Linked DNA regions of Macaca fascicularis. The protein of the gene in region 1 purifies or fractionates together with the protein of each later gene. This does not show direct contact. Links are inferred from orthologs where the notes say so. Each region holds a gene or a part of one and is shown in the gene's direction. Other genes may lie near its edges.

What was found. Proteins that work in one complex are often made in the same cells at the same time.
Region 2: the proteins of LCK (region 1) and SH2D2A purify together in Homo sapiens (co-immunoprecipitation; 3 studies listed by IntAct, with this or other methods). This does not show direct contact. The link is inferred for Macaca fascicularis from reciprocal best matches to the Homo sapiens genes LCK and SH2D2A.
Region 3: the proteins of LCK (region 1) and UNC119 purify together in Homo sapiens (affinity purification with western blotting; 3 studies listed by BioGRID and IntAct, with this or other methods). This does not show direct contact. The link is inferred for Macaca fascicularis from reciprocal best matches to the Homo sapiens genes LCK and UNC119.
Region 4: the proteins of LCK (region 1) and KHDRBS1 purify together in Homo sapiens (affinity purification with western blotting; 5 studies listed by BioGRID and IntAct, with this or other methods). This does not show direct contact. The link is inferred for Macaca fascicularis from reciprocal best matches to the Homo sapiens genes LCK and KHDRBS1.

Annotation. Positions count from the first base shown.
Region 1 is NC_088375.1:202,749,219-202,755,696, reverse strand, and holds part of LCK (tyrosine-protein kinase Lck), read left to right. Parts: intron 1-1,606; exon of another isoform or gene 1,607-1,664; coding exon of another isoform or gene 1,665-1,693; exon of another isoform or gene 1,694-1,713; 5' UTR 1,714-1,734; coding exon 1,735-1,899; intron 1,900-2,116; coding exon 2,117-2,463; intron 2,464-2,693; coding exon 2,694-2,792; intron 2,793-2,934; coding exon 2,935-3,038; intron 3,039-3,391; coding exon 3,392-3,541; intron 3,542-3,814; coding exon 3,815-3,967; intron 3,968-4,084; coding exon 4,085-4,264; intron 4,265-6,478. UniProt on the Homo sapiens protein: Non-receptor tyrosine-protein kinase that plays an essential role in the selection and maturation of developing T-cells in the thymus and in the function of mature T-cells. Plays a key role in T-cell antigen receptor (TCR)-linked signal transduction pathways.
Region 2 is NC_088375.1:104,257,696-104,264,800, forward strand, and holds the start of SH2D2A (SH2 domain-containing protein 2A), read left to right. Parts: upstream 1-2,864; 5' UTR 2,865-2,971; coding exon 2,972-3,005; intron 3,006-3,586; coding exon 3,587-3,675; intron 3,676-4,456; coding exon 4,457-4,641; intron 4,642-5,384; coding exon 5,385-5,474; intron 5,475-5,662; coding exon 5,663-5,831; intron 5,832-7,105. UniProt on the Homo sapiens protein: Could be a T-cell-specific adapter protein involved in the control of T-cell activation. May play a role in the CD4-p56-LCK-dependent signal transduction pathway. Could also play an important role in normal and pathological angiogenesis.
Region 3 is NC_088390.1:34,014,865-34,022,130, reverse strand, and holds the start of UNC119 (protein unc-119 homolog A), read left to right. Parts: upstream 1-3,025; 5' UTR 3,026-3,099; coding exon 3,100-3,319; intron 3,320-6,936; coding exon 6,937-7,050; intron 7,051-7,266. Other genes in the region: PIGS (GPI transamidase component PIG-S), read left to right, coding at 278-488, 866-1,141. UniProt on the Homo sapiens protein: Involved in synaptic functions in photoreceptor cells, the signal transduction in immune cells as a Src family kinase activator, endosome recycling, the uptake of bacteria and endocytosis, protein trafficking in sensory neurons and as lipid-binding chaperone with specificity for a diverse subset of myristoylated proteins.
Region 4 is NC_088375.1:203,014,738-203,021,819, reverse strand, and holds the start of KHDRBS1 (KH domain-containing, RNA-binding, signal transduction-associated protein 1), read left to right. Parts: upstream 1-2,841; 5' UTR 2,842-2,975; coding exon 2,976-3,357; intron 3,358-7,082. UniProt on the Homo sapiens protein: Recruited and tyrosine phosphorylated by several receptor systems, for example the T-cell, leptin and insulin receptors. Once phosphorylated, functions as an adapter protein in signal transduction cascades by binding to SH2 and SH3 domain-containing proteins.

The DNA of each region.
Region 1 (6,478 bases):
AGATTGAGAACATCCTGGCTAACACGGTGAAACCCCGTCTCTACTAAAAAATACAAAAAACTAGCTGGGCGAGGTGGCAGGCGCCTGTAGTCCCAGCTACTCGGGAGGCTGAGGCAGGAGAATGGCGTAAACCCGGGAGGTGGAGCTTGCAGTGAGCTGAGATCCGGCCACTGCACTCCAGCCTGGGCGACACGGTGAGACTCCATCTCAAAAAAAAAAAGAAAAAAAAGAAAATAGCATGGGGTGTCTGGGAAAGGCAAGAATAGTTCAGAACACAGGCTGTGTGTGGAGGTGTGTGTGGGGGTGCCTGTGTGTGGGTGTGTTTGTGTGTGTGAGTGTGGGTGTGTGGGGGTATGTATGGAGGAGATGCCTGTGCATGTGTGTGAGTGTATGTGGGGGTGAGTGTGTGGGTGTGTGCATGGGTGTGGGTATGTGGAGGTGCCTGTGTGTGTGTATGAATGTGTGTGTGGGGGTCATGTGTGTGGGTGTGGGTGCCTGTGTGTGTGTGTGTATGTGGGTGTGTTTGTGGGTGTGACTGTGTGGGTGTGTGGATGAGTGTGTGTTTGTGGGTGTGGGTGCCTGTGTGTGTGGGGAATATGTGTAGAGTGTGTGTGTGAATGTGTGTGTGTGAGGGTGGGTGCCTGTGTGTGTGGGGGGGCACTTTTGGGGGGTGAGAGTATGTGTTTATTGAGTGTGAGTGTGGGTGCCTGTGTGTGGGAGGGTGAGTCTGTGTGTGAGTGTGGGGGGGTACCTGTGAGGGGTGAGTGTGTGTGTATGTGAAAGTGTGTGTGGATGCCTCTGTGGAGGTGGGATGGGGGTGCCTCTGTGTGTGTGTGTGTAGGGTGTGTGTATATATAGGGTGTGTGTGAGTGTGTGTGTGTGAGAGAGTGTGTGTGTAGCAGAATGGACTGCGAAGGTGGATTTGATCTTGAAGTTCTGGAATGCACGGTACATCAAACTTTATTTGAGGACAGCGCTTTCCAACCGCTCTGAGGAGCAGCCCTAGACAAGGAGGAGCTGCAGGGACTCCGGGGGCTTCAAAGTGAGGGCCCCATTCTGCTTCAGACAAAACAGGCCCACACACTTATCGCTTTATCTATGGAGTTCTGCTTGATTTCATCAGACAAAAAATTTCCAGTGCTAACACAGGCAAATAAGCGACAAAAAAAAGTTATGGCCAACAGACTGACTGGAGGGTTTTCTGCTGGGGAGAAGCACGCCTGTGTTTGAAGGAACCCTGTGAGGTGACTGTGGGGCTATGTGAGAGGAACAGCGGGGTCCTGATGGTGGACTTAGGGAGCAGAAGCCTCTTTCTCAGCCTCCTCAGCTAGACAGGGGAATTATAATAGTAGGTGGGGCGTGCACACCTCTCCAGTAGGGGAGGGTCTGATAAGTCAGGTCTCCCCCAGGCTTGGGAAAGTGTGTGTCATCTCTAGGAGGTGGTCCTCCCAACACAGGGTGCCGGCAGAGGGAGAGGGAGGGGGCAGAGGCAGGAAGTGGGTAACTAGACTAACAAAGGTGCCTGTGGCGGTTTGCCCATCCCAGGTGGGAGGGTGGGGCTAGAGCTCAGGGGCCGTGTGTGAATTTACTTGCAGCCTGAGGGCTCAGAGGGAGCAACGGTTTGGAGCTGGGACCCCCTCTTTTAGCTTTTCTGTGGCTGGTGAATGGAGATCCCAAGATCTCACAATCTCAGGTACTTTTGGAACTTTCCAGGGCAAGGCCCCATGATGTCTGATGTTGGGGAGCAGATCTTGGGGGAGCCCCTTCAGCCCCCTCTCCATTCCCTCAGGGACCATGGGCTGTGGCTGCAGCTCACACCCGGAAGATGACTGGATGGAAAACATCGATGTGTGTGAGAACTGCCATTATCCCATAGTCCCACTGGATGGCAAGGGCACGGTAAGAGGCGAGACAGGGGCCTTGGTGAGGGAGTTGGGTAGAGCATGCAACCCAGGAGAAAGAAATGACTCTCCTAAGATCACACAGCAAGTAGCTGGTAGACTCAGGGATACACCCAACCAGGCTGGAGAGACTGAGAGCAGGGCAGGGGGGAAGGGGGCCAGAGTCTAACCCAGTCTTCTGCTTTCTGACCCCACCCTCATCCCCTACTCCACAGCTGCTCATCAGAAATGGCTCTGAGGTGCGGGACCCACTGGTCACCTACGAAGGCTCCAATCCGCCGGCCTCCCCACTGCAAGGTGACCCCAGGCAGCAGGGCCTGAAAGACAAGGCCTGCCGATCCCTGGCTGTTGGCTTCCACCTCACCCCCACCTACTCTCTCCCCGGTCCTGCCTTCCTTGTCCCCCGCCCTGTAACTCCAGGCTTTCTGCCCATCCCAGCCCGGTTCTCCCTGATGCCCCTTGTTTTTACAGACAACCTGGTTATCGCCCTGCACAGCTATGAGCCCTCTCACGACGGAGACCTGGGCTTTGAGAAGGGGGAGCAGCTCCGCATCCTGGAGCAGTGAGTCCCTCTCCACCTTGCTCTGGAGGAGTCCGTGAGGGAGCGCGATCTCCGGGACCGCAGCCCTCCTGAGGCCACCGGTTGGGGTGGCCGCCCTTGGGACAAAATTCAAGGCTCAGGACTGCTGAGCCAGGGTTCGGCGAGGCTGGCTTAAGGGGTGGAGGGGTCTTTGAGGGAGGGTCTCAGGTCGACGGCTGAGCTAGCCACACTGATCCGCCTCCGTGGCGCAGGAGCGGCGAGTGGTGGAAGGCGCAGTCCCTGACCACAGGCCAGGAAGGCTTCATCCCCTTCAATTTTGTGGCCAAGGCGAACAGCCTGGAGCCCGAACCGTAAGTGGGGACCCGTCGTGGGGGTGAGCGGGAGCAGATCTAGGGATCCTGGAGCAGGGAGTGGGCCTGGGGTGGCGGTGAAGGCTTGAGGGCCACGGAGGAATATCCGACGACAGCCTTCGTTCGCTTCCGCCGTGCACAGCTGGTTCTTCAAGAACCTGAGCCGCAAGGACGCGGAGCGGCAGCTCCTGGCGCCCGGGAACACTCACGGCTCCTTCCTCATCCGGGAGAGCGAGAGCACCGCGGGTGAGCGGGCAGTGGTCTCGACCGGGCGCGGGGGTGCCGCAGGGTGTGCCCGAGGTGGGGGCGCGGGATGAGCCCGAGGGGGGCGCGGGGTGAGTCCGAGGGGAAGCACAGGGTGAGCCCGAGGTGGGGACGCGGAGTGAGCCCGATGGGGACGCGGGGTGAGTCCGAGGGGGAGCGCAGGGTGAGGTCGAGGTGGGGACGCGGAGTGAGCCCGATGGGGACACGGGGTGAGTCCGAGGGGGAGCGCAGGGTGAGCCCGAGGTGGGGACGCGGGGTGAGCCCGAGGGGGGCGCGGTGGCGGGCCAGACTCACTGCGTTCTTTAGTCCCTTTGTCCATCCATTCATTCATTCAGGATCGTTTTCACTGTCGGTCCGGGACTTCGACCAGAACCAGGGAGAGGTGGTGAAACATTACAAAATCCGTAATCTGGACAACGGTGGCTTCTACATCTCCCCCCGAATCACTTTTCCCGGCCTGCATGAACTGGTCCGCCATTACACCAGTGAGCCCGGCAGGACCCCTCCCCCGTGCCCTATCAGCCTATCTCCCCTCAGTCCCCCTCGGGTGTCCCCCATCCATCTTTCAATGCGCTCCTCCATTCCCCGCAGTGGGTGAGGTGTGGAACTTGACCCTACGGACCCAAGTGTTTGGGTGACAGCCCCACACCCCCCTGCTAGTCCACTTCACCTAGATAGGAGCTTGGAGAAGTGGGGGAAGTGGTGTCAATACGAGGCCTGCCATATTGACAGTCTTCACCCCTCCCTTGTCCTCGCAGATGCTTCAGATGGGCTGTGCACACGGCTGAGCCGCCCCTGCCAGACCCAGAAGCCCCAGAAGCCATGGTGGGAGGACGAGTGGGAGGTTCCCAGGGAGACGCTGAAGCTGGTGGAGCGGCTGGGGGCTGGACAGTTCGGGGAGGTGTGGATGGGTGAGTGTGGCCTCCAGGACTGCCCGGGAAGAGGGGAACGGGAGGGGCTGCTGAGGTGGTGAGAGTCCCAGGACAGCTGCCTGGCGACTCTCCCACTCCTTCCCTTCCCCGATCCAGGGTACTACAACGGGCACACAAAGGTGGCAGTGAAGAGCTTGAAGCAGGGTAGCATGTCCCCAGACGCCTTCCTGGCCGAGGCCAACCTCATGAAGCAGCTGCAACACCAGCGGCTGGTTCGGCTCTACGCTGTGGTCACCCAGGAGCCCATCTACATCATCACTGAATACATGGAGAATGGTGGGTGCCGCCCGAGTCGGCTGCCGGGGGACACTGCTCTCCCCGCTGTCCCTGCCGGAGGGTGAAAGTACACCTTTTTTTCTGGCCCAAAGCTCAAGCAAGGAGGGTTTATTGAGCTTTCCTGGCCCCTAAAGACTCACCTCCAGCTGGGCGCAGTGGCTCAGGCCTGTAATCCCAGCACTTTGGGAGGCTGAGGCCAGCAGATCACGAGGTCAGGAGTTCGAGACCAGCCTGACCAACATGGTGAAACCCCGTCTCTACTAAAAATACAAAAATTAGCCAGGTGTGGTGGCGCATGCCTGTAATCCCAGCTGCTCAGAAGGCTGAGGCAGGAGAATCCCTTTAATCTGGGAGGATGAGGTTGCAATTGCAGTGAACCAAGATCATGCTACTGAACTCCAGCCTGGGTGACAGAGCTCTGTCTCAAAAAAAAAAAAAAAAAAAAAAAAAAAAGGCCGGGTGCAGTGGCTCACAGCTGTAATCCCAGCACTTTGGGAGGCTGAGACGGGCGGATCACCAGGTCAGGAGATCGAGACCATCCTGGCTAACACGGTGAAATCCCGTCTCTACTAAAAAATACAAAAAATTAACCAGGCGTGGTGGTGGGCACCTGTAGTCCCAGCTACTCAGGAGGCTGAGGCAGGAGAATGGCGTGAACCCGGGAGGCGGAGCTTGCAGTGAGCCGAGATCGCGCCACTGCACTCCAGCCTGGGCGACTGAGCAAGACTCCATCTCAAGAAAAAAAAAAAAAGAAAAAAAAAAAAAGACTCACCTCCAGGCATGTGAAAAAGGTATATCCTCTGATCCTGTCTGGGGGCGAGCCTAAGGTAGCAAGAATGTTCTGGAAGAGCATTCACCCCAACCTGCCCTGACCTGCCATTCTGTTTACCTTCTTCAAAGCCCTACCTTGATCTCAGGATGCTTGATCTCAGAAAGCGAATGGGTCCCTACCCCTGTTTCTCTCCCTTCTGCCCCTGAGCTTTGGGAGGGCAGATCTGCCCCGGAAGCCCTCTTTTTCAGTTCTGAGTGAGCCCCCCCACCCCGCACCCTTCTTGGTCTGATACTGGACAGAGTGAGAGCCCCAGGAAGAGGAATACGAGTTTCTAGCCTCAGCTTTGTTCACACCGATTTGCTGTGTGACAGGCCAAGTGCCTGCACTGTCTCTGGTGCTCAGTTTCCTCAAGAATAACAGCAGAAATCTAAATGGGCTCACCAGAATTAATACAGAGTATTCATCAAGGCCTCTAGCGTCTGACTGCCTGGGTCAGAAGTCTGGCTTCATGATTTTATGGCTTTGTGATAATTACATCACCTCTTTCTGTCATGGTTTCCTACTATAATAATGCATTAGTAACCTCCTCATAGGGTCTTGTGAGGATGAAATAATTAATGCATATATAGCAGTTAGAACTATGCCTACTTTAGGCCGGGTCCAGTGGCTCACGCCTGTAATCCCAACACTTTGGGAGGCCAAGGTGGGCGGATCATAAGGTCAGGAGATCGAGACCATCCTGGCTAACACAGTAAAACCCCATCTCTACTAAAAATAAAAAAAATTAGCCTGCGCGGTGGCGGGCACTTGTAGTCCCAGCTGCTCAGGAGGCTGAGGCAGGAGAATGACGTGAACCCAGGAGGCAGAGTTTACAGTGAGCCAAGATCGCACCACTGCACTCCTGCCTGGGCGATAGAGTGACACTTGGTCTCAAAAAAAAAAAAAAAAAAAAGGACTATGCCTACTTCCAGGTGTAGTGGCTCAAGCCTATAACCTCAGCACTTTGGGAGGCCAAGGTGGGTGGATCACTTGAGCCCAGAAGTTCAAGACCAGTCCGTGCAACATAGCGAGACCTCATTCCTACAAAAAATTTGTAAAAATTAGCCGAGCGTGGTGGTGTATGCCTGTAGTCCCAGCTACTTGGGAGGCTGAAGTGGGAGGACCACTTGAGCCCAGGAGGTTGAGGCTGCACTGAGCTGTGATTGCACCACTGCACTCCAACCTGGGTAACAGAGTGAGACCTTGTCTCAAAAAAACAAAACACAAAAAAACCACAAAACTATGGCTACTATATAGTAACTGATCAATAGGTTTGTCGCTGTTATCTGGCTCTGATTCTTTGGGAGTGTAAGATCTATCCTTCTTTCAGGAAGAGAAACAAGCTGTTCATTGGCTAATGGGAAATCGCAAATAGATTATGTCATGTGTATCTTTTTTTTTTT
Region 2 (7,105 bases), about 98 Mb from region 1:
AACAGCCAACAAACATGAAAAAATGCTCAACATCACTAATCATCAAGGAAATGCAAATTAAAACCACAATGAGACACCACCTTATTTCTGCAAGAATGGCCATAATTAAAATGTCAAAAAAACAATAGATGTGGCGAGGTGCGGTGGCTTATGCCTGTGATCCCAGCGCTTTGGGAGGCTGAGGCAGGGGTATCACCTGAGATCAGAAGTTCGACCAACCCCATTTTTTCTACTAAAAATACAAAAATTAGCCAGGCATGGTGGCATTCACCTGTAGTCCCAGCTACTCAGGAGGCTGAGGCAGGAGAATCACTTGAACCTGGGAGGCAGAGGTTGCAGTGAGCTGAGATCGCACCACTGCACTTCAGCCTGGGTGACAGAGTGAGACTTCATCTTAGACACAGACACACAGACACACACACACAAATAGATGTTGGCATGGATGTGGTGAAAAGGGAACAGTTTTACATTGCTGGTGGGAATGCAAATTAGTACAACCACTATGAAAAACAGTATGGATATTCCTTAAAAAACAAAAGTAGAAATACCATTATTTCCAGCAATCCCACTACTGGGTGTCTATTCAAAGGAAAAGAAGTCCTTCTATAAAAAAGACACATGCACACACATGTTTATAGCAGCACAATTTGCAATTGCAAAGATATGAAACCAACCTAAGTGCCCATCAACCAAAGAGTGGATAAAGAAAATGTGGTGTATCTGCATCATGGAGTACTACTCAGCCATAAAAAGGAACGAAACAATGTCTTTTGCAGCAACTTGGTTGGAGCTGGAGGCCATTATTCTAAGTGGAGTAACTCAGGAATGGAAAACCAAATATCGTATGTTCTCACTTATAAGTGGGAGCTAAGCTATGAGGACACGAAGGCATGAGAGTGATATAAGGGAATTTGGGGACTTGGGGGGAAGGTTGGGTGAAGAGTAAAAGACTACATATTGGGGACAGTGTACACTGCTTGGGTGACAGGTGCATTAAAATCTCAGAAATCACCACCAGATAACTTATCCGTGTAACCAAAACCCAACTGAACCCCAAAAACTATTAAAAATTTAGAACACGTTTTTAAAAGTAAGAAAACAGTACATAATTTTTTGAAAAACAGTAAGTCTTGGCAAGTACATCTCCCCCACCTGACATCTTGAGACAAAAGTTTTTTTCCTCTCTGAGTTCTCAGTACCAAGAACAGTGCACAGCACATAGTCATGAACCTTTGGCCTAAATCACAGTGAAATTAGTGAAAGGAAGTCTAGCTTCTAGTCCCAGCATTCATACCAACTTCTTAGCCACTGAAAGGCCCTGGCCAAGACACTCCTCTGAGCTTCTGGTAAATGGGGATAATGTTCCTGTCCCCTTCTTAGTTTGTGAAGATCAATTCAGAGAGAAATGGGGTTGGTCCTTTGGTATGGTGGGAAGTCTAAGCACATTGAAAGTTTAAGACATCAGCACCAGCCAATGCAGTGGCTCACGCCTGTGGAGGTCAAGGTGGGTGGATCACTTGAGGTCAGGAGTTCAAGACCAGCCTGGCCAACATGGTGAAACACTGTCTCTACTAAAAATACAAAAATCAGCCTGGTGATTGGTGGTACAACCTTGGTGGTGCAAGCCTGTAATCCTAGCCACTCGGGAGGCTGAGGCACAAGAATCCCTTGAACCTGGGAGGTGGAAGTTGCAGTGAGCTGAGATTGTGTCACTGTAGTCCTGCTAGACTCCGTCTAAAAAAAAAAAAAAAAAAAAAAGACATCAACAGTGAGGTTATTAACAGCAACTGCTGATAGTGTTGATACTAATGATGACCAGCTTAGCTGGAGGAATTCTCCTTCCTTCCTCCAGGATTGCCTGGTTTTTCCCTAACTCAGTTCCATTATCTGCTGAATGATGGAATCCAGTCCCCCTCCTCTCTAACCCCTTGTCTCATAAATTTCTTTTTTTATTATTAATTTTTAAAAATAGAGATGGGGTCTCACTGTGTTGCCCAGGGCTGATCATGAACTCCTGGGCTTAAGCGATCCTCTCGCCTGAGCCCCCCAAAGTACTGGGATTACAGGCGTGAGATACCATGCCCAGACTCATAGATTTCTTTTTTTTTTTTTTTTTTTTTGAGACGGAGTCTCGCTGTGTCCCCCGGGCTGGAGTACAGTGGCGCGATCTCGGCTCACTGCAAGCTCCGCCTCCCGGGTTCACGCCATTCTCCTGCCTCAGCCTCCTGAGTAGCTGGGACTACAGGCGCCCACTACCACGCCCGGCTAATTTTTTTGTATTTTTTTAGTAGAGACGGGGTTTCACCGTGGTCTCGATCTCCTGACCTTGTGATCCGCCCGCCTCGGCCTCCCAAAGTGCTAGGATTACAGGCGTGAGCCACCGCGCCCGGCGACTCATAGATTTCATATGTCCTCAAAAAGTCCTTCCAGAAGTCTAACCCACATCCTTCCTGTTGCAGCCCTGCCCCCTCCCTTCCTCATGTCTCCTCAAAGCATGACCCATAAGCACCTTGTGTGGCTTATCCTTGAGGCTGACATCCCCATTCCCACTGCTCAGAATAGGCCAAGAGGCAGAGTGGGAGATTTTTCAGAGAGAAAGAAATAGAAGTCAAGAGAGATGAGAGAGAGAGAAAGGGAAGTTCTAGTTTGGGGTGAGGGAGCAGAGAAAGAATCTGGAGGGATGAAGGTCAGGTAGCAGTAAGGACTTCCTAACACCTAAACACAGAGTGACACAGATACCCCCCACCGCTATACCACCACTATCTACAGCTGCGTGGCTTCCGGGGGTGGGACAATCGTCTTAAGGCTTTCCATGACGTGGGTCCTCTGCCAGAACTAAGGCTGTGGGTAAGGCGACATTTCCTGCCCCTGGGGCCAGGGTGAAAGGAGAGATGAAGAGTTGCTGAGTGTGCACACCTTTCCAGAGCACATACACACACCCTGCTCTGGGATCCCTTGTCAGGCTGCCCCCATGGAGTTCCCCCTGGCCCAGATATGTCCCCAAGGTAAGTGTGAAGTTGAAGGATATGGGTGGGAGGGGGCACCAAGACCCCCATCCCCCTGCCCTCCCTCCTGGGCTTGAGCTCCCACTTCAGGGATGAGGGGCCCCACTCTAAGCCAGAGCTGGCAAGGCTGAGAGGCAGGGCGACCACAACCCCGCCTGGGGCTCCGTGCCCACTCATCCCTGAGGATAAAGGTGACAGGGTTTTTTGAGCGCTTCTCAGAGAGGAGAGAGGAGGGAGCAGGAGGATGAAGGGAGGAGGAGGCAGAAGATCCTGGACCAGAAGAAGGGCCTGCCCTGAAGTGATCTGCCTCCCTGGCCATCCGAAGGCCAGCCTGGCTCCCATCTTCTCCTTCTAGGCACCTGGTGTCCCTGACAACCTCCTCTGGCAGCATTAGCCCCCCTCACGCCCCCTTGGCTACTTATCCTCATGCCTGAGAAACTCCCCTGCTGCCCTTCTGCGTTTTTCCTGTCATTAAGACTGTCCCAGCCCTACAGATCCCTGAACCTGGGAGGAGGGGTGGGAGGCAGAGATAGATACAGTCCCACTCTGAGAAACCCCGACAGCCCTCTTTGTGCTCACAGGGAGTCACGAAGCCCCCATCCCAACCTTCAGCACCTTCCAGATCACGGACATGACCCACAGGAGCTGCCGGAACCTGGGCTACACTGCGGTGGGTAGAAACCTGGGGCGGCAGCGGGGTGCAGCTCCCTCATCTCTCCCACCCTCCCATGGGGAAGGATTTGCAGATGGACAAAGGCCACCCCGAGAGAAGGCAGGAATGATCCGGGTCTGCCAACGGGCTGGGGCACAGAGGGAGAGAACGAAAATGGGGAGTACCTCCTTCATGCACTGAGTTGCCCACTCACTCCCGTGCTGCTCCTAGGCCCTCCGGAAGCTCAGGCAGAGTCCGCAGGTGACCAGGATGCAGCGCATTGAGTCCCAGAAGCAGGCATCTGCCCTCTGTGTCAGTGACCTTCATTCACCCGGTGCATTCCACGTCTCAGCCCTTCCCTCCCGCCCACTCAAGAATTTTCTCTGTGAACTAGCTCAGTCCCTCATATTGTGGAGTAAGCCCTCCCTCATTCTGGCCTTTAGCGTGACTTCCGGCATCATGTTCCTTCATCCTCCAGGCCAGGGAATGACTCTATCCATCTGGAAGGCTGTGCTGCCTTTCCCGTCCCTCCTGGAGCACAGTGTGACAGCTCACTGCTGCTGGATTAAAAGCCCTCAGGACCCAGAGGGCAGAGGAAGGAGAGTCTCTGGAAGCCAGAACAGCTGGAGCTGAAGAAGGGATTTAAGTTAGACTTTAGGAAGGACTTTCTGGGCAATTGTACCCTAAAATAGACAGGAGAGGCTGGGTATGAGGAAAAGAAGGTGGCAGGTGGATCAAAGTCAGGAGAAGGCCCACCCATCATGCTGCTTCCCCCTCCTTGAACTCTTCCCTGATCCAGGCATCTCCCCAGGCCCTGGAGGCTGCCTCCATCCCAGGGAATGCTGAGAGGGCAGAGGAGGTGCCTGGAGAAGGAAGCCTGTCCCTGCAGGCGGAGACCCGGGCTTGGTTCCAGAAGACCCAGGCCCACTGGCTCCTGCAGCATGGGGCAGCCCCTGCCTGGTTCCATGGCTTCATCACCCGGAGGTGAGTCATGGAGGAGGAAATTGGCCCAGACAGGGGCAGGGCAAGTCCTGGGTCTGGGTCCTGCCACCTGCCAGGAATAGATGAAGGCTCCCACTTCTACCAGTCTGGAGCAGATGGAGGTGCCCACTCCAGGCTCCCACTCCCAGAGTTTTCTAGGCCTTTCACTGAGGCATCTCTCCAGGGGAGATCATTGGAGAGGCTCCAGTCCAGGCCTCTCTGTGCCTCAGCTTCCTCTCTCTAGGCCCCATTATCCTCCTGTCCCTAAGGCCTCAAATGCTGGTATTTTCCACCTCTCTCTCCCTCCAGGCTTACTCCATCTTTATCTCCCAGGCCTCTTTTCTTCCACCCTTGCAGATCCTCCCTCCTCCATTTCTCAGCCTCATTTCTCCCTATCTCTTTGTTCACCTCCTCAGTTCAGTTTTGACTTCGGAAATCTGGAAGTCCAACTACTTTCCCATCTCTGTTGCTGCAGTAGCAGCCCCTACAGGCTGCCCTTCCAGGATGAGGCCAGGGGAGGAAGCGGGGGGTCTCCTGAATGGGACCCCTGGCCCCTGTCCACCCCTAGTCCCTGCAGCGGGAGAACAGCTCCCACATGCTCTCTCTCCCCATCTCAACCCTAGCCTTTCTCTAGCCGCTCCAGCATGCTTGCTTGGGGGTAAGGGTTCCTCGTGAGAGCTGGGGAGACAGAGGCGAGGCTGGAAGTGTCAGAGCAGGTTTCGGCCCCCTCTCTCCGTCACCCACAGGGAGGCAGAGAGGCTGCTGGAGCCCAAGCCTCAGGGATGCTACTTGGTGCGGTTCAGCGAGAGCGCGGTGACCTTCGTGCTGACTTACAGGTGAGGGGCGAGGCCCCGCGCCGGGCGACCGAAGGCGGGGCTCGGGAGGGGCGGGGCTTGGGTCTGATCCCAGGAGGAGCCGAGGTTTTAGCTCAGTTCCCGGGCTGCTGAAAGTGGGGGTCGCGCCTCGCGCTGGTGGCCCTGGCCGAGGAGTGGGAGATAGTCTGATCCCTAACGGCGCCCTCCAGGAGCCGGACTTGCTGCCGCCACTTCCTGCTGGCCCAGCTCGGGGACGGGCGCCACGTGGTGCTGGGCGAGGACAGCGCCCACGAACGGCTGCAGGACCTGCTGCGGCACTACACGGCGCACCCGCTCAGCCCCTACGGGGAGACGCTCACCGAGCCGCTCGCCCGCCAGGTACGCGCCCCGGGCCCTGACCAGAGAGCCCAGGGTCTCAGGCCAGCGCCCCCTCCCCGCCCCCCGACTCAGAGCCCAGGCGCAAGACGCGGCACCAGGCACTTTCTCATCCCAAAACACCACCCGGGCATGCCTCCCTTATCCAGGCATCTTCATCTTCGTGAGAGGGTGGCAGGCCCTTCGAGAAATATGAGTGCTGGGGGGTCCCTCCTTAAGAGACAAGCCCAGCCACACGGAGACAGAGGGGCAAGGAGAGACCAGGGGCACACAGAGTCATTTGGGGTTTTTTGTTTTGTTTTGTTTTGTTTTAGACAGAGTGTCGATCTGTCTCGCAGGCTAGAGTGCAGTGGCGCGATCTTTTCTCCCTGCAAACTCCACCTCCCGGGTTCAAGTGATTCTCCCGCCTCAGCCTCCTGAGTCAGCTTCCCCTCTCCAGGCCCCATTATCCTTCTGTCCCTAAGGCTTCGAATGCTGGTGTTTTCCATCTGGTATTTTCAGTTTTGACTTCTGAAATCTGGAAGTCCAACTACTTTCCCATCCCTGTTGCTGCAGTAGCAGCCCCTGCAGACTGCCCTTCCAGGATGAGGCCAGGGGAGGATGCAGGGGTCTCCTGAATGGGACCCCTGAGTAGCTGGGATTACAGGCATGAGCCACTGCGCCCAGCCTAGAAGTCATTTGTTTTTAATATAAGAGATATTTACGGAGTACTTAGGGCCTACCAACTGCTGGCAGGCCCTGAGAATAGACCCATGAACAAGACAGACAGATGGGTCTCAAACTCACAAAGCCTACTTTCCAGCAGTAAAAATGGACAAGTAATAGAAATCCAGTGTGGAGAATGTGATTCAGAAGGAAATACAGGGTACCGTTTAGCCTAGCAGGCAGTGGTGCACAAGTTCAGGCAGTGCTGAGGGACCACTGGGTGCCACGCAACCTTCTGGGCACTGGAAAAATAGCAGTGAACTTAAAGGACTGGAATATCTCTGCCTTCAAGAGCTTCCATTCTAGAAGGAGGAGGCAGACAAGTGAGTAATACAGAAAACAAGCGAAGAAGACAGAGTCTGTCTAGTAATGATAAGTACACACTGACAAGAAAACCAAACAGCTCCACCAGCAGCTCCACCTTCTAGGCAGACCCAGCCTCCAGCCCTCATGCCTCCTGGAGGCACCCACCTCTGCTACCCTGGCCCAGGCTGCCATCATTTCATGTGAAATATTGTTGAAGAGTGACAGGGTTGGGGCTGTTCTACACAGGGTGTCAGGGAAGGTCACTC
Region 3 (7,266 bases), on another chromosome or scaffold:
AGTATTTTAGCCATGGAACCTTTTTTTAAAAAACAAGATCTTGGAAGTCTAATGTAGAAACAGGTAAAAGCAGAAACACCGGTTGAAGCAGGGTTTGGGGCCAATTTGCTTGGTGTTGCCACTTATGCCCCAAGACCCTGAGGTACTTCCCTTTAACCCCTATGGTTCTGGGTAAGATTGAAAATCACTGGTTTAGGACAGGTATTTGAGAAATCTTAGCCATCATCTCCCACCCTGTGGTCTCAGCCACCTTGATCTTACTCCGATGTTCCTACAGGTTGCTCTTTGGGATTGCTCAGCCCCAGGTGCCTCCAAAATGCCTGCTTTCAGGGCCTAAGAGTGAAGGGCTAATGACCTGGGAGCTAGACCGGCTGCTCTGGGCTCGGTCAGTGGAGAATCTGGCCACAGCCACCACCACCCTCACCTCCCTGGCACAGCTTCTGGGCAAGATCAGCAACATTGTCATTAAGGACGATGTGGCATCTGAGGTAAGTGGGCAGGGGATGGATTCTGCAGCTTGGGACTGGAGTAGTCAGAGAGGGCCAGAGTGTGGTGAGACCAGAGAGCCTGTGAAGTCACGGTGTGGACTTCACAGGCTCTCTGGTCTCACCACACTCTTCATCTTTAGTGTCCCAGCCTTCCTCTAGACAGCAGTACCAGCCCCCCAGCAGGAGTGCAGATGACAGTGCGAGGTTTCAAGCTGACCCTAGGAAAATAAACCATATCCCTTTAGACAGACTTCCATAGATCCTGGATGAACTCCAGGCATCTTCCTCGATAGATGGAAAGCACAGTAAGGCCCAGCACCCTTTCCACCAATGCCTGGGACTTACTGGTATACCCTCTTGTCCCTTCTGCTTCCTAGGTATACAGGGCTGTAGCTGCAGTCCAGAAGTCAGCAGAAGAGTTGGCCTCTGGGCACCTGGCATCTGCCTTTGTCGCCAGCCAGGAAGCTGTGACGTCCTCTGAGTGTGCCTTTTTTGACCCGTCACTCCTCCACCTCCTTTATTTCCCTGATGACCAGAAATTTGCCATCTACATCCCACTCTTCCTGCCTATGGCTGTGCCCATCCTCCTGTCCCTGGTCAAGATCTTCCTGGAGACCCACAAGTCCTGGAAAAAGCCTGAGAAGACAGACTGAGCAGGGCAGCTCCTCCACAGGAAGCCTTCCTTTTTGGCCAAGGTGGGCGGTGTTAGATTGAGAGGCACGTACATGGGGCCTGCCGGAATGACTTAAATATTTGTCTCCAGTCTCCACTATTGGCTTTCCAGCAACCAAAGTACAACACTCCAAGATGGGTTCATCTTTTCTTCCTTTCCCGTTCCCCTGGCTCAGTCCTCCTCCACCACCAGGGGCCCCAAAAGGCACATCATCCGGGTCTCCTTATCTTGTTTGATAAGGCTGCTCCCTGTCTCCCTCTGTGGCATGGACTGTTTGTTCTTTTGCCCTATTTCTCAACATAGCACACTCATGCACTGAGAGGAGGGAGCATTATGGGAAAGTCCCTCCCTTCCACTCTTCTCTCTAACCCCTGTGGGAGAGCCCTAGTCCCTGCCGTCATGAAGGGGTCAGGCATTGGTCACCTCTGGGACCTTCTCCCTCACTCCCCTCCCTCCTAGCTAGCTTTGTCTGTCAGGTACAGTCTGGTGGAAGTCCAGGAGGCAGCAGCTCAGGACGTGGTGTTGGGGGGGTGTGTGTGTGTGTGAGTCAGAGGTTCCGGAAGGTTCCAGATTTGGAATCAAAGAGTCCTGAATTCAAATCCTTGTTTTTGCACTTATTGTCTGGAGAGCTTTGGATAAGCTGTTGAATATCTCTGAGCCTCAGTTTTTCATTCATTCAAATGGCACTGATGATGTCTCCCTTACAAGGTGGTTGTGAGGATTAAATGTGATCAGCATGTAACGTGTCTAGTGTATATTAGGCTCTTAATAAACACTGGCTGAATATGAATTGGAATGATACAAAGTCTGAGCTCTACTCTTTCTGCATTCACTGGTAAGTAACAGTTTCCTGGTGTTTGTCCTCCTGTGCCCACAGGTCCACTTTGCTTCCACGTGGCCATGTGCCTTTCCTAGCTGGATTGCCCAAGGCTGTTAGCATCTGCTTTTTACCTGAGATACTAATTCATCAGGTAAAAAAAAAAATATATATATATATATATATTTTTTTTTTTTTTTTTTGAGACGGAGTCTCGCTCTGTCGTCCACGCTGGAGTGCAGTGGCCGGATCTCAGCTCACTGCAAACTCTGCCTCCCAGGTTTACGCCATTCTCCTGCCTCAGCCTCCCGAGTAGCTGGGACTACAGGCGCCCGCCACCTTCGCCCGGCTAGTTTTTTGTATTTTTAGTAGAGACGGGGTTTCACCGTGTTAGCCAGGATGGTCTCGATCTCCTGACCTCGTGATCCGCCCGTCTCGGCCTCCCAAAGTGCTGGGATTACAGGCTTGAGCCACCGCGCCCGGCCCTATATATATATCTTGAGCACCAGCTGCAGGGAGCCTTCTGCCAGGTGCTGGGGTCCTACTGAGAACAAAGTAGGCAGGATCAGTGCTTTCACAGAGCTGAGCTTTCATGAGGAAGAGCAGACAAATAAAAATAATTTCACATAATGCATTGGAAAGACAAAAACAGGCTGGTCAGATGGTGACTGAGGGGGAAGGACTTCAGACTGGGTGTGGGGGAGGCAACTTTGAGCAGATGACATTTGAGCTGTGACTAGGAGAAAAAAGGCCATCTGGGGAAGAGCATCCAAGCAGAGACCCTGAGCCTGGAACTCACGAGCAGAAAGGCTGGAACACAGTGAGTAAGCGGAGAGGTAGTCAGGACCCCACTAGTACCAGTACAAGAAAGTGTTAGAAAAACAGAATGAAGCCCAGGGCAGGAGCCCCCGACTCCCATCCCCCACGTCCGTGGCCTTTCGGCAGGGGTGGGCCGCGGGGCGGGCGGGATCAGCGCAGGGCCCACCCCAGGGGCGGGGCCGGGGCGGGGCGGTACCTGGAGCCCCGGCCGGGGGCGGGGCTGTGGACGCTCCCCCTTCCTCCGGCTCCAGCCGGCGCAGGCAGCGGCGGCAGCAGCAGGCGAGCCGCGGCCCGGCGAGGCCATGAAGGTGAAGAAGGGCGGCGGTGGGGCCGGGACGGGGGCGGAGCCCGCTCCCGGGCCCTCGGGCCCGAGCGTGGCCCCCATACCAGAGCCGCCAGTGGAATCTGAATCTGGGTCCGAGTCGGAGCCGGACGCAGGCCCAGGGCCCAGGCCGGGGCCGCTGCAGAGGAAGCAGCCGATCGGGCCGGAGGACGTGCTGGGGCTGCAGCGGATCACGGGTGGTGAGCACCCGCGAGGGAGCGCCTCCCGCTGGCGGGAAGGGCAGAGGGTGCGAGGGGCCCTCCCGGCGCACCGAGCCCCAGCCCCCGCCCCCTTTCCCGCCTCCCCTCCCCCACCGAGTCTCCCTCTCCTGTGTCCCCTACTCTCCCTTCTGCCACCAAGCCTGAGATCTCTGTGTACCCCCTTCCCTTGATCTCTCTCTCTGTGCGCTTTTCTTCTCCCTTTCAAGATTTATTCCTTCCTTTTCCGGGGGTCCGTCCCCTTTTCCCAGCGTGGAGGTGCGTGCGGCAGCAGCTGCAACTGTAGCCCTGCCTCTGTGGAGTCTTCAGAGCGCTTTGAGGCCCGCCCCTGCACTAATGAGGAGAGGGGCTGAGTGCAGCTTGTCCTCAGCCCCCACCCTGGAGGCTAGGTGGAGGCTGAGTTACTTCGGAGGCATTCAGACTCTTCATGTCTCCCCAACCATTAATACCCTCACCCTGATCCTCCAGGAATACTTGGGCCATTTTCTTCCCCAGGAAAGAAACTGAGCAGGCAGCTTCAGAGTGTTGACTGTGGTTCCTTCTCATGGGGAGTGGCTTAACGTCCCCCCAAGCCTGGACTAGCGCCTGTCCTATTCTAGGGGCTCTGTCATCAAGGGAGGCTTGGTCTCCACTGTGGTTAAGAGTTTCTGAGCTGGACTGCCTGGGCTGGAGTTCCAACTTTGCATATAATTGGCTGTGTGAACTTGGGCAAGTAACCTGACCTCTCAGCATGTCTTTTCATCTGTAAAATGGGGATAATGGTATCTGTCTCGTAAGGTTATTGTGAAGATAAGTCCTCTGATTCTGTACAGTGCCTGGCATCTATGCATTCTGTGTACATTGGGCTCTTTGATCAGTAGTATTTGGGGCCCTACAGGGCTGCTCATGGCTGCTGCCTGGGGTCAAACAACTTGGCTTTCAGGGCAGGGGAGGGGGTCATCATAGGCAGGGAATGAGGGCTAGGAAACCTCATAGCAGAGGCCTTGGCTGAGCCTCAAAGGATGAAGAGACAGTGGCTCTCCACCTTGGCCACATTCACCAGCAACCTGCCCTGGCCCCCTTTGTGAGAATAATTGTTGGGGGGCCTCTCTGTGGGTATGGGGTGCATATATTGGAGTGGACCTGAGCCCTAGAGCTTCCAAAGCAGCTGAACACAGGGCTCCCAGACAGAGCTGTGGAGGGGAGGCAGCCTTGAGCCTGTGCTCCTGGGTCCCTGGGGGCCAACTCCTCTATCCTTACTGAGTTAGGCAGCAGCCATTCTTGGCTGGGCCCCCAGAGTACTGAGCTCCCTTGCCCAAGCAGGCGTCGATGGAGGGAGGGAGGCTGGACCAGGCTGATGTTGAAGCCAGTTGGGCTACAATTTGCAACAGCAGCATTTAGGATTCAGCTTAGCTCTGGGGCAGAACTGTCTCAGAGGAAGTCCAGAGGTCAGATTGAGCCCTGAGTAACTTGGGGGGTTGATTTTGCAAGTAGAGGGAGCTTCCAGCTCATGTACCACCATTTGTCTCCTAATTTGGAGGCAATTCATAGCCCTTAGAGATGGGGAATCTGTGGAGGGTGAGTAGAGGAAAGGGCTTCATGGGAACCCCTTCCTGTGCAGGAGTTGAGAACAGGGTTCCAGGGATTTCCACCCTGGCACCTCTTGCTGGTCTCTTCTGACCCTAATCACGCAGGTCCGAGGTTTGCTGTTCCCAGATTACTGGGCCCTGAATCCAGCTTAGGAAGCTATTTGTGGCTGAGAGGAATAGAGCAGTTGTGTTCTGAGCCCTTGGCCACTCTGCTCCTTATTCTGACCTGACCCTGGGTCCCAGGCCTCATCCTTTCTAGAAGGGAAGGAGTGGCCATGGTGTTCTGAGCCATAGACATCCCTGTTCCTCACTTCTTCTAAGGACAGAGAGGTTGATAGATTGAGTTTGCAGTAGAAGAGACTGAGGTCAGACTGCAGAAAGCTGTTCCCAAATGAGAGAGGCTCCAAAAGTTGGAGAATGGGAGAAGAGAAGGCCTTACAGGGATCTGGGAGTTGGGCACTGGGATCCTGCTCCCCACTCTGCCACTCTATTCCCTATGCTCTGTACCTTCTTTCTATGTCTTTATACTGGTGCTTACTTTCTGTGAAAATAGGGTGAATGGCGTGAGATAGAGGTTGCCCACTTCCAATCTCTCCCCACCCCACACGTGGGCTGTAGTAGACTCTTCCCCAAGCTGTATAAAGTCCATGCCGGGCCCCAGGTACCAGACGGCTGCCAGGAGGGCTTCCTGGAGGGGACTGTGTCAGGCTTGGGGAAGAAGCAGGCCTGGGGAAGAGAAAATGACTTTATATTCACTTCCTCTTCCTGCCCCAGAGGAATAGGTGGCCCAGGGGCCTGGAGGGTGATTTCCAGGCCTCTGTGGGCCACCAGGGGAGGATGTGATGCTGTGTAGGCTGACAGCATCAGAGTCCCTCCCTGCACCTCTCAGCTATCTTTGTTGCCAGGGTCTCCCTGAACACCTGAAGTTGCTGCTGCAAGAGCTGTGAGGGTTAGATCGGGCCCTGTAGGTCCCTGAGCTTCCTCAGGCAGGGCCTCCCACTGTTCTTGGTTCCCCTTGTGGGCCCGAGGACTCCCTTTAGCCCTTCCACACCCGCTGCTGCACCTGCCACACTCGCTTCCTGGCCTAGCCTGTGTTCTTCTCTATAGGGGTCCGGGACTACTTTCTCCATGGTGGTGGCTCAGAGCCAGGGCTGCCTAAATGACCTCTAAGGGGGTTCCCTCTGCTTGCTAAGACTTCCTCCCATTTGGAGATCAACAAAGGATAAGAGCAAAGTTGGCCTCCACCCCCTGCCATATCCCAGGCTCTGGGCTTGAGTCAGCAGAGCTTTGGTTAAGCTGCTTAAGGGAGCTGGGCTGGTGTAAGCTTCTTACTGAGAGGAGGGGGTTGGGAGGGGAGGAGGAACAGGGAAGGGGTTGTTCACCTGCCCCAGCACCACCCATATCAGGGAAAGTCCCCTCAACATCAGCCTCACCTGATACATCTAGATGTCATGCCAGGGGCAGCTGTGGGGCGAGGGTAGGAGTATCCTCCAGAGAAGGACTGTGACTCTCCCAAGACAGAGCTGTGTGGCCCCCTTTACAGTGTGGTTCTCAAAGGCAGGGTAACAGAGAAGTTGATAGATTGAGTTTGCAGTAGAAGAGACAGGTCAGACTGCAGGAAGTTGTTCCCATATGAGAGGAGAGGCTCCCACCATGCTGGAGACCCAATTCTCCCAAAGTCACCTAGCCAGCCTTGGCAGAGCAGAGGCCAGAATGAGGACCCTCAACTCCAGGGTGGGAGGGAGAGCGTCCGGGAGGTGGCCTTGTCCTCTACCCTTCTCTGCCCTTCCCTTCCCTGGCCCCCAGAGGCCACCAGGATGGCACGCCTTATCCCCTGTTAGATCCCCATGGTGGAGTTATGTCTCTTCCACACTGGGGGTGTACTCCAAGGGCAGGGGTTCAGGTCCCTCTTTCCAGAGGGTAGTGATCCCAGGGATGAGAAGATGGTAGCTACTCTGGGGTCCCACACAAGCTGACCTGGCAGCAGGGGCTTTGGGGCCCCTTCCTTGCTCAGCTGCCTGTCTCCCGTAGACTACCTGTGCTCCCCTGAGGAGAATATCTACAAGATCGACTTCGTCAGGTTTAAGATTCGGGACATGGACTCAGGCACTGTCCTCTTTGAAATCAAGAAGCCCCCAGCCTCAGGTGAGTGGGCTGGGTGGGCCATTGATGGCGAGGCAGATATGAGCTGCGGAGTGGGCTGCCCAGGGACTCCTTGGGCCACAGAGGAGTCCACAGAGGTGGGGCTTGGACCCCAGCATTCTCAGGAGTCTGCAGGCAAGGGGGCCCTTTCTTTTCCTTCCCATATGTTTCTGAGGCTGGACATCTTGTGAGGTCAGCCCTGCCCCTTCGGTCCCTGCC
Region 4 (7,082 bases), about 270 kb from region 1:
GGCTCACTGCAACCTTCACCTCCCAGGTTCAAGCGATTCTCCTGCCTCACCCTCCCAAGTAGCTGGGATTACAGGCGCATGCCACTGCGTTCGGCTTTTTTGTGTTTTTAGTAGAGATGGGGTTTCACTGTATTGACTAAGCTGGTCTTGAACTCCTGACCTCAGGTGATCCACACACTTCGGCCTCCCAAAGTGCTGGGATTACAGGAGTGGGCCACTGCACTGGCCCTTTTTTTTTTTTTTTTTTTTTTTGAGACAAGGTCTCACTCTGTCATCCAGGCTGAGTGCAGTGGGGGCAGTAGTGGCTCACTGCAGCCTCAATCTCCCAGGCTCAAGCAGCAATCTTCCCACCTCAGTCTCTCAAGTAGCTGGGACAACGGGTGCCTGCCACCACACCCAGCTAATTTATTTATTATTTGTAAAGATGAGGTCTCACTATGTTGCCCAGCCTGGTCTCGAACTCCTGGATGCAAGAGATCCTCCTGCCTTGGGATTACAGGCATGAGCCACTGCACCTGGCCTGCACTTAATTTTCAACTATCTTTTTGACATTCATCACATTTCATTCATTACAAGCACTCAAAAATATTTTTTTTCCTACTTGACTGAGGACAAGAGTCACTTCTTGGAACCTCAAAGTAAATGTATATATACTTTTTTTTTTTTTTTTTTTGTGAGGAGGAGTCTCCCTCTGTCACCCAGGCTGGAGTGCAGTAGTGTGATCTCGGCTCACTGCAGCCTCCGCCTCCCGGGTTCAAGCGATTCTCCTGCCTCAGCCTCCCGAGTAGCTGGGATTACAGGCGCCCGCCACCACCCCCGGCTAGTTTCTGCATTTTTAGTAGAGGCAGGGTTTTGCCATGTTGGTCACGCTGGTCTCGAACTCCTCACTTCAGGTGATCCGCCCACCTCAGCCTCCCAAAGTGCTTGGATTACAGACATGAGCCACCGCAGCCGGCCTATATTTTATATTACATATATATAATTTATGTGGATATGTGTGTTTTGTTTTCATTTCTGTGGGTGACTTGGTAAATCCCCTCCCTTAACCCAAGAAGGCCTTTAGGTTCTCTAGTTAAAGGGTTCTAAGTTTCACATCCAAAAATCAACAGTTTCCAGGCACTCAGAAGACAATTTCCGAAGAAACTTTTTTTCCTTGTTTTTTTTGTTTGTTTTTTGGTTTTTTGAACGGAGTCTCGCTCTGTTGCCCAGGTTGGAGTGCAGTGGCGCGATCTCGGCTCACTGCTGCCTCCGCCTCCCTGGTTCGAGCAATTCTCCTGCCTCAGCCTCCCAAGTAACTGGGATTACAGGCACGCACCATCACACCCCGTTAATTTTTATATTTTTAGTAGAGACGGGGTTTCACCATGTTGGCCAGGCTGGTCTCCACCTGGCCTCAGGTGATTCGCCCACCTCGGCCTCCCAAAGTGCTGAGATCACAGGCGTGAGCCACCGAACCCGGTGGAAACTTTTTTATTGTTAGAGATGAGGTCTCATTACATTGTCCAGACTGCTCTCGAACTCCTAGCCTCAAGTAATCCTCCCATCTAGGCCTCCCAAAGTGCTGGGATTACAGGCATAAGCCACCGCACGAGGCCCCAAAGACTTTTGAAAAGTGTGGGCTCATTAGGAGAACTGATCCAGAAGAAAAAGAGATGGGAGTGAGTGCTTTAAATGGAAGAAGAAAAAAATCTGTGGAGGGAACGAAAAGTTAGAGACAGCACTAAGCTTTTGATGGTTTATGGGACAAGTAGGGACCTAACGCTCCACCTGCATATAGCACTCCAGGATGTGGAGAACGCCGTGGGAGACTGGCCATCTGGCCTTTGAGAGTAGTGGCAAGGGTCTCTTTGAGCAAGTCTGGAGTGGTAGAAGGAGCCACCCTAATGATGCAAGCAACGTGGATTAAGGATCTGGTCTCTACTCCACTTTTTGGCAGAAGAATCACTTAATTGGCAATGACAACGGCAAAACAAAACACAATTCAGAGAAAGCAGTAAAATATATAAAAAGAGCTAAAATGCTGCTTAAGATTTCCCTGACCAACAACGGCAACCGTTTTAGAACCGACTGGAAGAGATCTAATACTGGAAATACATACACTGGAAACGACTTCTTGTGTTCCCTATGTCTGGGGCCCTTTTCTTTGCTAGACTTCAGATCTCTGATCCGAGCCATCCCTCTTAGCTCATGTCCTCCAGTAGCCTTCAGAGTTTCCACCGAGCCGTCCTTTCTCAATTTCTCCCTCCAGGTTTCCCTTCCCCAACTTCCCCTCCTGCATCGGACTCTCCCTTAGCCTTCCTTTCTCCCTCCTGTCTTCCTCCCCCGGCGGTCTCAATTCTCTCTCCCTCCCCTTTCCGTGTCCCTCACGGCAGTCTCCTTTTATTTCCTTACTTCGGTGACCGCCCCCCACCCCACTTCCATCCCCACCCCACTCCCCACCCCACTCCCCACAGCCTCCCTCCGCTGCTCAGCCGTTGGAGAGGGCGTGGCCCCGCGAGTAACAGGTCTCCCGCCCCACACTCCGCGGGCCCGCGCGCAGACAAAGACATTCCACAGCTCCCGCCCCCTCCACGCAGTAGGCCAGAAGAGGGAGGAGACACGTGTCCCGCTAGCGCCGAGTCACGTGGAAAAGGAAACGAACGGAGCCTGCGGCCTCCCGCGCATGCGCGTCAAGCTCTGGCCTGGCGGGCGCGGAGGGAAAGCCAGAGTCAGGAGGCGACTTCTTCGGACGCCGCGGCGGTGCGCAGGCGCCGTGGCCGGACTGGGGACTTTGTTCTCCGCGGAGAAACCCAAGGGCGGTGCCGGTGACTGGCTGCGCACGCGCGCCGCCTCATTTCCGGTGCTCTCTCTCGCTGGGTCGCTCGGGTCGGCTTCGGTCGCTACTGCTCCCGCTCTCCCACCCCCGCCAACCGCCGCTTGGGCCTCCGTCGCTGCCGCGTCGCTCTCTCGCTCCTTGGTTTCGCACATCCTCCCCGATGCAGCGCCGGGACGACCCCGCCGCGCGCATGAGCCGGTCCTCGGGCCGCAGCGGCTCCATGGACCCCTCCGGTGCCCACCCCTCGGTGCGTCAGACGCCGTCTCGGCAGCCGCCGCTGCCTCACCGGTCCCGGGGAGGCGGAGGGGGGTCCCGCGGGGGCGCCCGGGCCTCGCCCGCTACGCAGCCGCCACCGCTGCTGCCGCCCTCGGCCACGGGTCCCGACGCGACAGTGGGCGGGCCAGCGCCGACCCCGCTGCTGCCCCCCTCGGCCACAGCCTCCGTGAAGATGGAGCCGGAGAACAAGTACCTGCCAGAACTCATGGCCGAGAAGGACTCGCTCGACCCGTCCTTCACTCACGCCATGCAGCTGCTGACGGCAGGTAAGGGGGCCTCCTGGGTCCCTCGGCCATCCTGGGGCATGAGTGGCCCTGGCTTTGTTCCTCTCGCTTCCCGCCCCCTCGGGACCGAGGCAGTCGGGAGCTCCGGTGTCATCCTCATCTTTGGGAGCCTGGATTCCACATTCCCACCTCAACCCGGAGTGCGTGGGAGAATTTCTAGGCTGCAGTGGAGGCCCAAAGGCGACTTTGCGATCTCCTAGCGCTAACGTCTTGATGGATGGTGCTGAGCTCCCCGCCCCTTTCCCGACTCTTCCCTCCTCCCTCCTCTTGCGGCTGCCGGGCGCACAGATTCTTCCAGAAATTAACCTGTATTTCCCCCTTTCCCGAAGGGAAACCCTTTTTGATCGCGGGTGGCGATGAGCGCTTCGTCCGAGGTGTAGGAAGTGAAGACAGCCGGAGCGGGGAGGGACCGTGGGAGGAAGGGCCGAGGTGAGGTGGGGTGAGGCTGGAATACCCTGTCCAGCGCCTCGCTGTCGCTGGGGCCGAGCCGGACTTAGCGGTAACCGCAGCTTAAGTTGCTGGGAGGAAGGAGCGATTTATGGGATCGGAACTTGAGGTTTCCGAATCAGATTTCCGACTAAGGCTGATAAAGTAAGAATTGCTACTGAGCCTGAAGGTTGTCCTCTTTCATTTTACACTGTGTGTTCACTATCATGGAAGAAGGAGTGAAATAACCCTAGAGACAGTGAAATGGGACGATAGGGTCTCCCGCGTAGTTCACATAACGTTTCCCAACGAGATGGACAGAAGTTGAGAGAAGTGGCATGATGCTTGTACTGAAAGACTTAGTCTTTTTGTTGCTGTTTTTTTACATTTTTGATTCAGTAGTGAAATAAATTAGAAATGAGAGTCTTTGTTCTGTAGATTAGCGCTCTTTTCTTGATCAGCACTAGCCAATCACCTAATCGCTCTGATTTTTCCCTAAAGCTGTGTGACCTTCGCTTCAAGTTAAAACATTATTTTAATAAATATTTCTTATGATACCTAAATTTTAGTAAGCAAGTAAAAATTCACATCCTTCAACACTGAATGAGTAGTTGGACTCTTTGGGAAGGTTAATATAATGGGCAGTTCATTATGAAAATATTATCTCCCTCTCTTTGTTCTCTGTCTCCCAACACTGTAAGGTAAGGGATCTTTACCAGTGTGGTGTTCATCTTTTATATGCTTTCTTAAGATAACTGTCAAAAACTATTGATCCTTAAAAGTTACTTAGAATTTTCAGCCTTCCCTCACTGCTTAACTAAGAGAGGAGTGCTCTTTATTTTTAACCTGGGCTTTCTGGATGTATTTTTTTTTAAACCCAACTGAAATTGGAGAAGTGTGGTTGAGGTAATGTTGGTTTGGGATGTATGAATTCTTTTTAGCATGGGTAAGTGTTAGTATATGTTGAGCCTGGCTTTTAAGGTATTTCTGAATTATCTTGCGAGGGGATTGCAGTGAAGTCGCAACCCATTGTGAGGAAGTGAGACTTTGAGAAGATAGAATAGTAGTATTTAAGCTCTGGTAAGATCACATGGAAGGGGCGGGCGCGGTGGCTCATGCCTGTAATCCCAGCACTTTGGGAGGCCCAGACGGGCGGATCACGAGGCCAGGAGTTCGAAACCAGCCTGACCAACATGGTGAAACCCCCGTCTGTACTAAAAATACAAAATTAGCCTGGCGTGGTGGCGCATGCCTGTAATCCCAGCTACTTTGGAGGCTGAGGCAGGAGAATCGCTTGAACCTGGGAATCGAAGGTTGCAGGGAGCCCAGATTGCACCATTGCACTCCATTCTGGACAACAAGAGCTAAACTCCATCGCAAAAAAGGAGAGGAAAAAAGAACACATGGAAGAAAAATATAGCTAAGACTTCATGTTTGAGGTCTGAGCACTTTACATTAAATATTTAACCTATGAAATGAGAACTTTTATTATCCTCATTTTTACAGATGAGGAAACCAAGGCACCCAGAGATTAATAATTTGCCTAAGGTAACAAAATTAGTAAGCAGCATAACCAGGGTTTTAAGTCAGTCTACACACCTTCCCCGTTCCCTCACTGTAGTGCCTGCTGCAAATTATACTTTAAAAGTAAGCTATAATTGGACAAAATATTAAAATCTAGCTGGGGTGATAGGTGACCCAAAAAAAAAGTGTATTTGAAAGTATAAAAAAAAAAAAGACAAAACTTTGAGGGATGTAGATTTTGAATATAGACTTCTGTGTTAAGCAGATTGATATTCAGCAGCGAGGACAGTCGAATGTATTTGCAGACATAAAGATTCAGTCATCCATCTTTGTTTTCTGGAAGAGAAATAATTTACCTTATTGTGTTAATGTATTTATATACTAAGTAAAATGCTGTTATATATGTCAGTGTTCTTTTTCTTTTTTTTTTTTTTTTTTTGAGACGGAGTTTCGCTCTTGTTGCCCAGGCTGGAGTGCAGTGGCGCAATCTCGGCTCACCGCAACCTCTGCCTCCCAGGTTCAAGCGATTCTCCTACCTCAGCCTCCCTAGTAGCTGGGATTACAGGCATGTGCCACCACACCCGGCTAATTTTGTATTTTTAGCAGAGACGGGGTTTCTCCATGTTGGTCAGGCTGGTCTCAAACTCCCGACTTCAGATGATCCGCCCATCTGGGCCTCCCAAAGTGCTGGGATTACAGGCATGAGCCACTGCGCCCGGCCTCTTTTTCTACTTTCTACAACTAGTAAAATATAAGTTAGTGTAAGTGACTCAAGAATAAACATTTTGAATAGATTAGCAATCTGCAAAAGATCTTGGAGGGATAATCAAAAATCCATCCTTCAGAAGGATGGAAAAAGTGGAAAACATTTTACAAAGTCTGTTGAAACTTCAAAATAGTTAATTCCTTTATTTACAATATTCTCTAGAAATACATTAAGACCTTCCCAGTTCATTCCACAGGGCTAGCAAAACCTGCTATTAAAACTGGAAAATAAGGGCCGGGCCAGTGGCTCACGCCTGTAATCCCAGCACTTTGGGAGGCTGAGGTGGGCAAATCACGAGGTCAGGAGTTCAAGACCAGCCTGGTCAACTTGGTGAAACCCCTTCTCTACTAAAAATACAAAAAATTTCCCCGGGCGTGGTAGTGGGTGCCTGTAATCCTAGCTACTTCGGAGGCTGAGGCAGGAGAATCATTTGAACTCAGTAGGCAGAGGTTGCAGTGAGCCCAGATCGCACCACTGCACTCCAGCCTGGGCAAAAGAGCGAGACTCTGTCTGAAAAAAAAAAAAACAAAACCGAGAACACCTCTCCTAGGAATGTGCTCAAAGAAACTTATACGTGAGTACTTGATTCATAAAATGGTGTGCCTTGTTCACAAAATGTTGCAACTTGTGTCACCATTCATTGGCTAATGTGATAGATTTACAACAGAAAATATTTGGCTGGGCACAGTTTCTCATGCCTGTAATCCCAGCATTTTGGGAGGCCTAGGCGGGTGGATTACCTGAGGTCAGGAGTTCGAGACCAGCCTGACCAACATGGTGAAACCCTGTCTTTACAAAAAATACAAAAATTAGCTGGGTGTGGTGGCAGGTGCCTGTAATCCTGGCTACTTGGGAGGCTGAGGCAGGAGAATCGCTGGAGGCAGAGGTTGCAGTGAGCTGAGATATAGCCAACAAGTGAAACTCAATCTCAAAAAAAAAAAAAAAAAAGAGAAAAGAAAGTATTTGTACAGCAGTGAAAATGGATGAACTA